2 linked regions of the Astyanax mexicanus genome follow. The protein of the gene in region 1 interacts with the protein of each later gene in a pairwise test. Links are inferred from orthologs where the notes say so. Each region holds a gene or a part of one and is shown in the gene's direction. Other genes may lie near its edges.

The links.
Region 2: the proteins of rbm41 (region 1) and RNA-binding Raly-like protein interact in binary tests that used the Homo sapiens proteins (3 or more experiments, as listed by UniProt). The two-hybrid records come from large-scale screens. The link is inferred for Astyanax mexicanus from reciprocal best matches to the Homo sapiens genes RBM41 and RALYL.

Annotation. Positions count from the first base shown.
Region 1 is NC_064424.1:16,702,603-16,710,203, reverse strand, and holds the start of rbm41 (RNA-binding protein 41), read left to right. Parts: upstream 1-4,525; 5' UTR 4,526-4,553; coding exon 4,554-4,588; intron 4,589-7,601. Other genes in the region: klf8 (Krueppel-like factor 8), read right to left, coding at 343-369. UniProt on the Homo sapiens protein: May bind RNA.
Region 2 is NC_064413.1:46,358,502-46,366,461, forward strand, and holds the start of RNA-binding Raly-like protein, read left to right. Parts: upstream 1-4,956; 5' UTR 4,957-5,003; coding exon 5,004-5,009; intron 5,010-7,960.

The DNA of each region.
Region 1 (7,601 bases):
CGGGGAAAGAGAAGAGAAGGGGACGGGACCTAACCTCACCTTGCCATGCTTTGAGCTAACCTACCATTCTTACCTGGATTGGCAGCTGCTGTAGAAGTCTTTAGGTAGCTCGCGTTAGTGAACAGCCCGCAGGAAAGAGCTTTAGTTCGGTTTGTTTTAGTTTTAGCACAGAACCGGCTGACATTTATTTAACTAACTAGCTAACCTAGTACATATCACCGGCCCGAGAGCTGTTGTTACCTAGCAGCGGCTAATAGCTAGTTAGCTATCTAACTAGCGTTAAGTCCTGTCCTGCAGTTCTGATAACAAGTCAACAACGGGTAATAAAACAGACTTACTTACTTTCTTATTCCGAGTCTCCGTGTGCATCTCGGTAGCTAAGCAAGCGGGTGCGGTGGTTAAAAAGGGGTGGAGTGGAGAGGGAGGGAGAGAGGGGGTCGCTCGGGTGGGGTGTGTTTCAATAATAGCTAAGCTAGGTTAGGTTAGGTTCGTAACGTCGACGGCAGTTTTCCACCTTTCGTATCGGGTTTTTGGAGGCTACGGTGATGGTCGTCGCCTCAGCGAGTGGTACGAATCATGTCCCCGGCGTCGAAAAAATCCTCTTTCCTCCCCCCCAAAGCGTCTTTCTGTGTGTGTGTAAGAGAGAGAGTGTGTGTGTGTGTGTGTGTGTTGTTGCCGTGTTCAGGGTTGGGCTCTCAGGCTCTCCGTCTCTCCTCCGCCTCTCCCCTGCTTCTGACCCCACCCTGCGTCCCCACCCCTCCGCGCCGTCAGTCAGAGGCTGCAGAGCTGCTCGAACCACCAGCAGCAGCAGTAGCAGCAGCAGCGCCCGGCTCTCCTCAGCTCAACCTTCGCCTGCTCGCAGCTTTTCAATATGATCGCAGCCATGTTTTTCTTTTCATCTCTTTTTTCATTCCTGCTCGCTCTACTGAACACACCCTGCCGCCTCACCTACTGACGTCAGCGCGTACCGGATGTTCTTTCGCTTTCTCCTCATCCTCCTCCAGCAGCAGTAACTTTCCTCCAGCTCAGAGCAGAGCTGAAAGATGCTGATGAAACTCAGTGATATCATGATACTCACGCAGTGTTAGACGCAATTCACAAAGCATATAGTCAAACTAAAAAAAAATTACTTCTTTGAGACTTCCACTTGAGATGGTACATCTTGTACATTTGCACTCCAGGGCACTATTAACTCCTTATGGTACATCCTGTGCATTCACACTCCTGGACACTACTTACACTGAACTTAAATACAATACTTGCACAATACCAGTTTATGTTTAGTATTTTTCGTATCTACTGATACCTGCTATCCCTTATACTTAATTTATTCTGCATTACTGAACTACCTCCAATCTACATCTGACTACTGTCACAGTTTGTATAGTTTTTGTATTTATATATTCATGTATATGTATTCTTCATTCAGCATTTTTTATTTTTTTATATACCTTATAATGTATAGTTAATATTTCAAATCTCAATTTGAATCTTATTTAGTCTTATATTTCTTACTGGAAGAGGGGAAAAAATGTATGCCATGATGAAATATTAACAATTTTATTTTTATTCTCTTTATCTTTGAATATACAACTCTGAGAAATAGGAACTGTACAACTGCAAACAAAAGCAGTTACTAAAAGTAGCTGAAACTAGAGCGTTAATATTAAACTTAACTTACATCACTACAGTAAAGCTGAATATAAAGAATGTTATCCACCACTACCAATCTGATTGAACATCTGATCTCAAAAACACAACAGTAAAACAAATAGAACATGAACAGACCCCTAGATATGGTAATCCAATGTAAAATGCTAATTCAAAAGGCAGAAGGTTGAGGACATTATGTTGATTCAATGTTAAAATTTCAACGTTGGCACAACCATCTGATATTAAATATTGTTTCAGTTGAAGCGACAACAGATATCAACTATATTGGAACAACCTTTAAGTGTTGAAGGTCGGATGTGTGCCAGCTGGGAAGTGCACTTAAGCAGCAAAAGTAAAAGTACTGTGATTTAGGCTCTAATATCTATCATTTTTTTGTTTAAAGGGAAAATCTAGTTTGAAATAGACTTGGGGTTTAGTGTAATGAGTTCATGAGTTTTAGCCGATGCTCCCAACAGGCTTACAATGCAAGTGATAACTAATGCAAAGAAATCAAAGTAGCTCCACACTGCATTGTTAGAACTCTAGAGCCCTGACATGTAAAATTAGGCAGTTTGAGAACTTTGAAAGAGTCATGTTAAAGGTGTTATTTCACTAGAAACTGATTAGAACTTGCTCTTTTTTAAATACAATAGGTCACTCCAAGTTGCATATGCATGCTGTACGTGAAACTGTTCTTCTATCCCCATTGCCTGTATTATATTTAACACCAGCAGCAGTAACTTTCCTCCACCTCAGAGCAGAGCTGAAAGATGCTGATGAAACTCAGTAATATCATAAGATTTAAAGCAGTATTAGATGCAACACAAAAAACATATAGCTAGCCACTTATCTTCCTAAGGAAAAATAGAAAATAAAAAAAACAGTAAAATATGCTGCTTTTAGACTTCCACTTGTATACAAGTGCAAAAGTTCTTGCTTTAATTGCACTAAGTAGCAAAAGTATTGTGATTTGGAAGTAGTGTGAAAGACTCATTAATCTCACTTACTAGTGTCACCCTTGCTACATCATTTTTTTAAATAGAATGTCCACTAAATAATCTGACACTGACATTAAACATTAGTCATAAACAAAACACTAAAGACAAACATTTTCAAATAGGTAGAACCGAGTGGCTATAAATAACATTTTGCAAACAAGAAAAGTTTTTGTTTTAGATTCACATTTTGCAACTTTAAGTTTAATAAAGACACACTGAATCAAATGTTCCCAAATGAGTTTTCCTTTAATATACTGCATCTATATGTTTACTATATTTCATAATTTATGTAAGGATAGGTACTCCCAAAATTGTACACTGATGCACTGTTGTTGAACAGCATGATTGGACTGGGAATCTATGTCCAACAGGTCTAAACTGGTTCAGTTATGGGAACTATACAGAGGGCAGTAAATGTTCATTAGATAACCGTTCATTCTGAAAATGACATCCTCATATGGGGCTCACATGGGCTAGGAAGGAATGGGTTCTGAGTGGATGTGTACACTGTTAAAATAAAAAGACACTTGAGGAACCTGTAGGAGTTCTTTATGGAAAATGTACTGTGAACTTGCTTCTGATCAAATATCACTGAAAAGGTTGCTACAGCTACAACTAGTTGAGAACTTCACATCACTAATCATCACACCATGTAATCTGTGTTATTTCACCTGACATGAAGATACAAAATCACACTCATGCAAACACACTGTTAGTGTGGTGCATTTGAAATGCCCTTTTGCAATTGTAAATACATTCAACAGCACTCAACTAATATTCAGTGTTTTAAGGGGGATATACACTCTAATGCAATAATTTGGGCAACCTTGGCCAAAGGACACATTCACATGTTATAGTTGTGGTACAAATTGCACATTTTGCAATATAAAACAATATAATCACAATCCACAATACAAAAAAACTGGTCAGTTTTTACGGGTGGTTACAATATACACTTTTTTCCACAATCCAATGTGAAATGACACAGAAGGAGCTACTCATGTCTGGAACAAGAAATGAGAAAAAACAAACAGATAATGATGCAAATGCAGTGACATTGTCAGCTTGAGAACTTGCTGTAACTGCAATCTTGGTATAGCAATGCTAGTTTATGCCTAATACTGTTAGTGTGTTGTACACAACTGGTGTACTCACTAATGTATTCAAACTTTGCATTCTTTTGCTAACATTCAGCCACTACTGTCTCCTCTAAGCAACTACCTAAAAAATTGACAATGAAAGCAATCAGTGCCCACAAAGAAGGAGCAGTACAAATACAGCCAAGACTTTGTTGTTGTTGCGTTCTGCAGTGTGGAATTGTATTTAAAACCGAGGTTCATGGGAACTGTGGAAGTCAAGACAGAGTCTGGAAGATGAAGAAATCTCCCAGAGAATTGGTATGAAAGGCAAATCATTAAATCAAACCCCAAGATGACAGCACAGAAGTGTAGTTAAAAAAAAAGCTGAAGATAAGATAAAATTAAACCAAAATATACCAGAAACCCACCATGGATTACCTGAATAGACCAAAACATCAGAAACTAACAATTGTGATAGACCTTATAAACATACATTTAAATTTGAGCCCTTGTCTGTATGAAAACACATGAATAAGATTGTTATTATAAAATATTATTGCCGTATTTAAATCGCAGCTCTACTGTATTTATTGTCTGTTCACATTTGATTACTGAAGCTTTACTGACGACCACTCACTTGTTATAAAGGTTAACGCTCTTTTTCCATTAAACTACATATCCCAGAGTTCGTAGTTTTGACAATAGCACTTCCGCTGACAGCAGGAAGTGGGTTTGTTTTGGAGAGCATGAAGCGGTAAGACTCAAATTAGTATCGGGGTGTTTGTGTAAAGCAGTGTTTAAGTGTGTTCTGTCTGTTAAGCTAATGCTGAGAATGGGTGTTTTTGTGTGTACTGTAAGGTAAAGTCTTCGTATTATGTGTTAAAGGCACCGATAAAGGCAGTCAGCTCTCAGTGCTCAGTAACGGAGCTAAGCTAACCTAGACAATAATACGTTAACTAACGTTAGCTATTTAATACTATATCTTTTTTTTATAGAGACTCGTCTGTATTGATTATAATTTGATTTTATGTAGTGTCTTTACAATGTTTGGGATGTGGAGTTCAGAACCTGCATTAGTTAAAACAGGCTTACAGATACAGATTCTGATGGATTGCTGTAAGCAGGACAGATTCGGTTCAGTGTAACGCTTACCAGCTACATTTTTTGATAATAGAATATTGTGTGTAAAAACAGTTTAAACAAGTGTATAGTAACGAAGTAGAACTACTTCACTACTGTAAGTAAATACTAAACATCTGTATATGTAACGTTATCTACTGGAGCATTATTTCCCTCTATTGAATTCGTTTACTCTGATTTTGTGCCGAATCGTTACTCGTTACTCGTTAATCGTTACAATTAAATATGATACGGTAGAGGCTCTGCACAGTCAAGGGGTTTGATAAAGCTCCTAATCACTGAGCGAATCAAGAGATCAAGCTGATTTAATAAGAAGATTTCGCTTCTACCGTTCTGCCCTTCACTTTGAGAACTTTCCATCGCTTTCTGTAATAACTACATAACACAGTACTGTACCTTTACTCTCATTACATAAACTACCAGCAATACTTAAGTACAAAAATGTTACTTTAGTACTTTCACTTAAGTGTTGTATTTAAAGAACACTTCAACTTTTACTAGTCACTTTTTTTGATAGATTTGTTTGGGTTTCAAGGTCTTTATTAGGGGTGGGCGATATGGCCCTAAAATAATCTCACAATATTTCATGGTAATAACGTGATAGCGATATGAAAAAAAAAAAAAAACACACTACTGCAACAAAACAAAATTTACATTTTATTATTGTATAGGATATGATATTGCACACCTCTAACTGAGATATAAAAAAAAATACAAGAATTTTAGCAAATTTGTAACAGAACTCCAAATATCTCCATATATCCAGGATTAAAGTAAAATAAATTATACTGGACAGATATAATCTGTCTCTAGTATATATATAATAGGAAATGAGAAATGTATGAATTTTTATTTTGCTTAAAACAAGAAAAAAGTAGAACCCTGATGTGATAGTTAGGGGTGAGTGTTATGGCACGATATTTCAGGGTATAATATCGTTCACGATATTCAAAAATGTTGGCGATATTATCGCGTACGATACGATATGGCACACCCCTAGTCCTGGGGCTTCTTTCATCTTGCCAATTTTCTAGTTTTTTATTGTAGAAAAAAATGTAAATCAATTTTTATTATACTAAACAGGAAAAAAATGAAAATTTAGTTTAACACCTGATTTTCGAGTGTAGCTTCAAAAAACTGATTTGATGAATGTTACAGGAACTAACCACATTCAGTCTGTATGTGTCTCCCATGCACACATACATACACAAAGAGGACATATGCAGCACCCTTGTGCTAGTCCTGCATGTAACAGTCTAGAGTACATTAACACTCCTAACACTACCTATGACTAGTTGTTTTATATGTGTAATTAAATAGTTTTCCTATTCCTTACATAATTAAATAATCTTTTGATAGTCTCATGTCAGTCGAGATTTATACGTCTAACTGAATTTCAATAAGCTGTACAACAGTTTTAGGGATATTACACCCACTTATCAGCAGCAGCAGCTGTTCATCAGAGTTTATTGCTCTTACCCTGCAGTAACTCACTTCTCTTTTCTAGTAAGGCTGGAAAATACATGTTGGAACATTAAGTAGCATTAGCGAAATCGGATACTGGAGTTGTTTCATGATTAGCTACTACTCCAGTTAGTCACAAGGACGTTCCATCATTCTAGAGAACACAGTTCCAGGTGTTTAGTGATGTCAGAAATCATGATATAATATTTTACTCATTATTGGTTTGTTCCAATTTAACAACCTCAGAAAAAAATGTCTATTATGGTTTGTTTTGTAAGAATGGTTAAATAGTTTTTGGTAGTATGCAAAGCACTGGCGGTTCTAGGGGTGGGGTCACAGGGGCAATGGCTCCAGCTGAAATTTGATTGGCCACCTGAAGTGCCCCTGTCCACTAATGTTGTATATGTTTAGTAAAAATGCATCTAAAATTGGTGTGGATATTTTTATGTTAGTTTTAAGTTAATTTGGTGCCAAAGGTTTTACACTAAAATCTGGCAGATTATATACATATAGATGCAAAAACAAATAAGCAAAAGCAAACAAGAGATTTCAGAAGCAAAATCCATATATAATCTAATAATTTTTATATATATTTGATATATTGCGTAGACATTTTCCTTTATTCTTTATTATTCTTAAAATTTTTATTTCATTTTTGTGTAAAACTTTTAAAATGAATAGATTATGCTGTGCAATATTTAAATGTTTGAATAGTTTGACTGGTGAAAGGTCTCCATATTGTGGCTTCCTGATGGTGCTTATCTCACAAAACCCATGATCTGCAACTGGTGCAAACTACTTTAAACTGTTAAAAAAACAGATGTAATTTGTATGATTTTTTATGACAAATTGTGTGCAATTGATGAAGTATTGACAGTATTACAAAAAAAAGCTTTTTTTTATTTTACATTACAATAACAACAACAAGAATATGCCATTATTGCATCAGTCCCGCACTTTTCCAAGGTGTTGTCTTTATAAATTGTTGTCCTCTTTCTCTACAAATTTGAAATGAACACTTCTTTTTTTGAGATTTGAGATTTTATTTTTAATTTGATATTATTTGGTTAAATCTGTACAATGAAGAACAAGCAAAGGGAATAGAGAATCATATTAACCATTCAAAACATTAAAACTGCTATGTGTAAATTGACTATTTAAACTGATCATTTTCGAAGCTGACCTTCTGACTTCTTACATTGTAAGACCAGTGTATGTCAATTGTAGTGTTAAGAAAATATTTTTTTGATAAAATAAGTGTTTTAAG
Region 2 (7,960 bases), on another chromosome or scaffold:
AAGGAGGTCAAAGGGGAATAATAGGATAGAGGAGTGAAGGAGGGGAAGAAGGAAATGAGGTTAGAAGTAGTTAGTGTGTTAGAGGTGTTAAGAGAGTAAGTGCTCATTGAAGAGCTCTGTCTTCAGGAGTTTCTTAAAGATATTAAGGTCAAAGAGCTGCTCGGTGATGTTCTCTGGACTCCAGCGGGCGATCTGACACAAGGGGCGGGGGGTATGCAGTTCGCTTTTTCGCTTTTTCACTTCGGATCAGTGACAACCTTGGCTGATTTTCACCTTGGCATGCTCCTGTTCAGCTTTGCTGGGCGAGCTTCCACGTCCTGGGCTTGGAGAGGAGAGGAGGAAGTTGTCGTTGAACGGTAATCACCTCCACACTGATCCTTTTGCAGGAAAAACAAGATTGATTCCCTTCTACACGGGCGTTTACAGAGATTAACGTAAATAACACGACGGCGCGCCAGCGAAGGCAATTAAATCCCATCACCGCAAATGTGTCTCCCCGTCTTCCCTGGACAAGGGATTTCTTTCAGGCAATTAAAGGTACCATTGAAACAAGTGTGGCATTATCGTCCTGCCTCGCCTCTGCCGCCCATCTCCCCAGCGCAGGTGACTGCACCTCGCGAATGAGAGACAGCTTCATTTGCTTCATGCTTAATTGGATTACTGCTGGAGGCACTACGATGAGTGTGGAATTTAGTGCGGGGCTAGCGAACAGAGGAGGCAGAAGAGTAGGAGGAGAATAGGGTTGCCGCGAACAAGAAGCAATTTTCTAGTGAAATGAAATTTGCTTGAGGTGAGGGGAGAGCCTGCTGCCGGCAGAGACTAAGCCGATGCACCAGGGAGATGAATGAGGATCTGTGATAAGGCAATGTTGTTCCAAAGGGTTCTTCTGCAGGAGGCTAGCACACACACACACACATACACATATACACACACACACATTGCACATAACGCCTGTGAACAGCAGTGCGGTTATTCTCATTATTCTAACTTTGCCGGCAGATTGTGATCATGAATCAGGGGGTGGCAGGGCTCGGAGAGGGCTCTTAGAGGCCTTTTTAAGCACCACATCTCAGCCCAATGTGGGGCCGCAGTGTCTCCACCTGACACTTCACGGAGAGGGCATGGGCTGCTCTCTCCGCTCGTTCTGTTTGACTGAGCGGCTTTGCGGGCAGATTGCCACCTTCCCCCGACTGGTGCTGCCTCTCTGCTCGTTGGGCGGTACGAGCACGCTCATGGAGGTGAAAATTACACAGGAAGTGCGATGAAGGAGTTGGCAAGAACATGTTAATGAAAGCCCAGGCGAGGCTTTTTGCATGCCTGACGTCTGCCTTTTAAGCAGCCAATCTATCCTGATGCTATTCATTACAGTTGCATTCGCTCCCAGGGCCAAATCTGGCTGCACTGCTTCACACCACACCAGCTCTCTCAGTGCACGCTGCCGTGTGCCTGCTGCAAGTTCCAGACAGACACACACACTGCTCTCACCACTTCATCTTTTAGCATCATTTATGCAGCGCCTGGCTGCGGACGCCATCTTTCAGCTCAGTCATGCAGAGTGGAGGATCCAGTGTGTCACTCTATTGATTGGTTGGCATACTGTGCATATCCACTTGTCAGTTAGGCCTTGAAAGGTGCCTGCTGTGTAATGGATGTAGTCGGCACTTAAAGGCATAAATAAGTGCTGGTACTCGAAGGTTTGAACTGATTGACTGTGCTCTTCGTGATCATGAAGATGGACAATATGAATGTTAGAAAACATGTTGTTATAAGACGCACATAAGTAAATGATGTGTGTCTTGTAACATGTGATGTCCTGTTGCAACTAAATAATCCTATTGTAAGATGTTTATCAGAACAAGACAACAAAGCATGCTAATACAGAACTGTAAGGTGGGGTGTCTTATTGAGATGATGACATGATTGCTTATTTTTCATGAGAGCATTAATATGCTGTGAATCTCTCATTCTACCAGGTGGAAGTTGTTCTGTTGTATTCAGATCTCTTCACTGGCAATGCCACTGATCAACCATCCATTGTCATATTGGAAGCAGCCATTAGAAGATTGGTAAATTGCGTCCATGAAGGGATGCACATGGTCAGCAAATAGGGTTCAAGCATTCAAGCAAACTCAAGGAATGCCAAGGAAAATGCACCTCACACTCCTCCATCTCCACCAGTCTGGAGTGTTTACATAAAGCAAGTCCCTGGTCCATGGATTTATACTGTTGGAACCAGGCTTTTTGTCACTCGTTAGCTGTACAATTGGTGAGCGTGTAGCCACTGGAACATCAGCTGTTGGACTTTTGAAGTGACGTAATCTCAGAAAACAAGGCATTTCATCCTCAGATCTACCACTCACAGTATGTTTTCTTTCAAGTGAATATTATAGTCTTTCTCACAGGAGCACAAGAACTCGTGTCATGATTAAGATCACTGAGTATAGCCTAAGCCCAGCTAGCATGCCCATGTGGAGATGGTGCTAGATGGCTTCCAGGTGGGCAGGGGCTATGATTGAGTTGGTACAGGTGTTGTTACTGGGCACAGTTGGGATTCTCAGTGGGCCCCTATGTAGAAATATCAGTAGAAACAGTAGAAAAAAACGTTCTGATGTCCAGTTGAGCTACCCATACATATACAGCATGATGTTCACCATACAATGGTCCTGTATCTGCATGATTTTATGCATTACACTGCTAGCAAATGATTGGCTGATAAGGTCATTGCACAAAGGAGAAGGTGAACAGGTCATTGTAATAAACTATCCAATAAGTGCATAGGTAGCCTAGCCTCTCGAGGAAGATTCATGATAAAATGTTGGTAAAATGTCTCTACTTATAATACTAAATATGAAAAGACTAACAAACTATACCAGAAATGAAAATGGTTAAAGGCTGAAGAAACTGTAAGAAGGGAGGGGAAAAAATAAGTGGTGTTTTGTCTTTCTCTTGATCAATTATTGAGGGCACAGTTTGATTGTTATGTTGTTCTAACATCCTATTCCTCTTTGCATATCTGTCATCTCTTGTTATTTGCTCAGACCCATGAATGCATTTGACAGGCAGAAACTACTTCTGTCTGAGGACAGGGAGTGGCTACTTTCACCTGAGGGCAGGGAGAGGCTTTTCACGCTGATGGCAAAGAGTGACTATTTCTGCTTAAGGGCAGTGAGAGGTTTCTTTTGCCCAAGGACAGGAAAAGTTTTTTTTTCTGCCCAAGGGGACAGATATGTTCTGTCTGCCCTGAGGGCAGGGAGAGGCTTATTCAACCCTGAGGGCAGGGAGAGGATCAATCTGCCCTAAATGCAAGGGGGATGATCCCTCTGCCTTAAGGGCAGGGATAGACTTCTTCCTTCCTGAGGGCAGGGAGAGGCTGCTTCTGCCTTAAGGGCAAGGATAGGCTTCTTCTGCCCTAAGGGCAGAGAGAGGCTCCTTCTGCCCTGAGGGCAGGGAGAGGCTTCTTTAGCCCTGGGGGCAGAGAGAGGCTCCTTCTGCCTTGAGGGCAGGGAGGGGCTTCTTCTGCCATGAGGGAAGGGAAAGGCTCCTTCTGTCCTGAGGGTAAGGAGAGGCGTCTTCTGCCCTTAAGGTAAAGAGAGGTGTCTTCTGCCCTTAAGGTAATGAGAGGCTTCTTCTGCCTTGAAGGCAAGCATACACTCCTTCTGCCCTGAGGGCAGGGAGAGGCTTTCTCTGCTTTGAGGGCAGGGAGGGGCTTCTTCTTCCCTGAGGGTAGGGAGAGGATCCTTCTGCCTTAAGGCCAGAGAGAGGCTCCCTCTGCCTTTAGGGTAGGGATTTGGCTTCTTCTGCCCTGAGGACAGGGAGAGTTTTTTTCTGCTCAAGGTGACAGAGATGCTATATCTGCCCTGAGGGCATGAAAAGGTTCCTTCTGCCCTGAGGGTAGGGAGAGGCTTCCTTTACCTTGAAGGCAGAGATATGCTTCTGCCCTGAGGGTAGGGAGAGGTTACTTCTGCCCTGAGAGTCTCATTCCTCCTAAGGCTAGAAAGAGGCTGTGCACACTTTGTCTCAGTGCAGGGAGAGTCTGTTTTTACCACATGGCAGGGAGAAGCACCTTCCACCATATTGACACTGTTCTGGGCACCTGGTATTATGGGGGATTATAAATTAAGAAAAGCAGCAGAGGTCGCAGGCAGAGCGGGAGATGAAATCAATTAACTTCAGCCAAAAGCCCCTCACGCTGAACACCTGACATGAAGCACAGAGGCACGGGGGAGGGGCGGTGTGAGGGGGGTGTGATGGTGCTGTCACAAGAGCGCTCCACAAAAGTGATTTATCTGACGAGAGAGGCAGTTTAACACATCTCCGCTGATTTGCGAATGTTCTCGCCTCTCTGTCCACTGCCATCAATACCCGTGTCAGTATGAGGTCCTAAATAACAGTGGGCTGCTTATTGCACTGCTCCTCTCCAGCGAATCAGAGAAGAGCTGAGCGAAAAGAGAGCGAGAAAAGAAGGATGTGCAGGTTGACCAGTGACCTCCTAAACGACCACACTGGTATAAATATTGAGGCCCTGCAGTGCTAATCTAGTGTGGGCATTATTCTTTGGAGCGAGGGTTGAGTGGGTTATGTACAGCAAGGCCATGTGCTGACCATCACCTTCATTTGTTTTTTCTCATACGTGTGTGTGGAGCCATAATGAGTCATACTGCTGAAAGTATGTGTGTATTTTTAATAGCTATAGAAATTACAGCTTTTATTGTACAGATATCTGCATTAATGACTAATACAATGTGGTTATATGGATATTTAAGTCACAATTATTGACACAATATATATTAAAACTTCTTAAACAAAAATTATGATATACATACTTAAAATATAGGTTACAAAAAAGTATAAAATTGTGTGTAAATATAAGCTTTATTGAGCACAGAGAAATATTCACAGTGCATGCTAGAACCCTTGGTTAGTAAGTAAAACCCTTGCATTTAATATCCTATAGGTCCCCATTTTGCGGCGGAATTCACCTTCACCAAGTGTAGCTGAGGAGAATGAAGGTCAGCCCATTTCAAAACACAAAATATCTTCTTTTTCATTAATTCTTTTGTCCATTTACACTTATTCAATGTTTTCTTTTCTAATATAGGCAGATGGAGATATGTTGCAGTTTGTTTGGCCTTATATAGATCGAATTGGCACTGCGCCTTATAATCCAGTGTGCCTTATGTATGAATTTTACCTGTTAGGCCACTCCATTGAAGTACAGTGTTATAAGAGTGAGGTTTCAGTGAAGTTTCTCCAGCACTAGAGCTGGGTGCAGCAGCATGAGCAATAGCCGCTAACCACAGCGCTAGCTCTTTTGTCAGAAGCGAGTTCAGAAGCGAGTATATTGGACTGTAGTCTGCATGTTTCACATGTTAAAACAATCTACGTGGGATAAACCGCAGGTTGATAGCACCCTGGGTTACGGGAACACTCAGGTTCCTCAATCAACCACTAACGGGCGGCACTAGTCTCACTAGTGCTGTGGTTAGTGGCTAATGCTAATGCTGCTGCACCCAGCCTTAGTTCTGGAGAAACTTTACTAAAAAAACACCCTCTTAGACAAAATATTGGGAATCTAAGATTACTGTAAATAGATGGAAATGCTTTACTTACCCAACTAAACAGTTTTCAGGAGATTAATCTGTATATTAACATCTAGCACATTTTTTTGAGGAATTACAGTTTTGTTTACTAGAACGGAAACATGGAAACACTCTTGTTCACTTTGATTAAGGCATTCTTTCTATTGTTGCCTTATAATCCGGTGCATTTTATGCATGAAAATAGACCAAAAAATAGACAATCATTGATAGTGAGCCTTTTAATTCAGTCTGCCTTATAGTCTGAAAAATACGGTAATTGCACAAGTTTGTGTAAATGCGTAGATTAGATTACTGACAAACTTTGGATTATGAAGTGTATGAAAACGCAATCAGTGTTTGAACATTTTAAACAGTTATCTGCTTTAGTTTAAAGTAGCTACTTTTAGATCAAAATGTTTTGGATCAGTATCTGCTAATAGCTTAGTATATATAGTAGTGGTATGGTGCTAGGTGAGTTTTTTTGCAGATGTGAATATTATTGCATGCACGTAATTGAGTGTGTGTGTGTGTGTGTGTGTGTAGGAACATGTAGCAGACAGTGCATTACAGCTATTCTGCTGCTGCTTCTCCTGCCTACACTTCTGAGCAGCTGTGATAATAACAGTCTCCACTTTCAGGTGCTTGTAAGACACACTGACTCTCTCTCTCTCACACACATATCCTCTCTAGTGCCTGTCACAATGAACAACCCTCGTTCAGTATCTCCGGCGGCTGCAGAGTGGGCTGTGCTTGTGGAGGTTTGACATGAGCGTCACAGTGAATATCAGAGTGGAATTAGCCACTGCAGGGGCTGGAGGAAACTTCTGAACCTCAGTGTATAAACAAATTCCTATTGTAGCTTCATAAAGATTATAAGATACTGTATAGAATGAATGGCACAGCATCTGTGTCTTTAAGGGAAGCTCTGGAGATAGCAGCGGTATGTGGACAAGCATTGTCCTGTTAGAATAGGAGCTGGTAACAGGACGTTATTAATGTAATGTGAACTTAAAGTGCCTGCAATAACCAGTGACCGAAGGTAATCAGACGAAATTGCACTTTAAACCAAGACACCAGTCCTACTGGATTTTAATCACAGTTTTCATGCATGTTGGCATGTTCACCTCCACCAGTTTTACACACTGCTTTTGGATAACTTTATGCCACTCCTGGTAAAATCAAAGAAACTATTTTTTTCCAGAGCTGTATATATACAGTACCATTCAAAAATGTGGACATACCTTCTCATGCAATGTTTTATTTTAGTAAATTGTAAATAAATACTGAATTTATCCAAACTTTGAAAGAACACATAATGAATTATGTCCAAAATCCAAAATACTATGTGAAGCGTTTAGGTGATGAACTATCTTGTTCAACAGAAGAAAACTATTGCTCTCCCTTTCCTGCAGCAGTCCTGATGAGTGCCAGTTCCATCATAAGGTTTTTGATGGTCTTCTCGACTGAGCTTAAGAATACTTTCAAAAAATACTTTTCAAAGAAATTTTCAGATTCTCTGACCTTTAAAAGTATTTTTTTCTATACTTAGTTGAGTAGTTCTTGCCATACGATGAATTAGAACACCACTTAAATAGGGCTATTCACTGTATACCTGTAACTCTACCTCTTCACAACTTTACAACTGATGCTCTCAAACACATTAAGAGGCAAGAAATTCAAGTAATTGACTCTTAATAAGTTCAACACAGCTGTTAACTGAAAGCCTGAAGTCCAGGTGACTCTGCTTCATAAAGCTGACTGTGAAGATCCAGCCAAGATGTACAAAATTGTCTCTATTTAAGCAATAGTTGCTAATTTTGTATAATCTAAAATATAGCGCATATTCCGATTTAACACTTTTTTCTGCATAGGTTGAATGACTTCAGTATTACTCTACAATGCATACAATTTTAAAATGTGTGTCCAAACATTTGACTGATATTGTATGGATACAAACTGAAGTGATGGGAAATATCAAGAGCAATCAATCACACCTGTATTAGTTGTTGAGTAATTTCTAGAAGTTGAGTGAGTCTGAACATCACTGGTCAGTGTGCTCATGGCAAGGTGGTGTAAGTTATTTGAGTTGGAGTGATGTCTAGTAGTGGGTGCAGATGAATGGGACATTTAACATTCTTTGATCTATATTATCATATGTGTACCAGAATCCATCAGAAAAGGCATTATCACCCTCAGTGGACAGCACAGTGGGTAGTAATGATTGTGACTGGTGGTGTCTGGCTAGAATTGCCTGTGTGAACAGAGAGAGCAGAATTTATATACACATTTCATGCAGTACGCCTCACACACCCGCACACACACACACACACACACACACACACACACACACAGTGTATCTGTACTAACTTCAATGGGACATG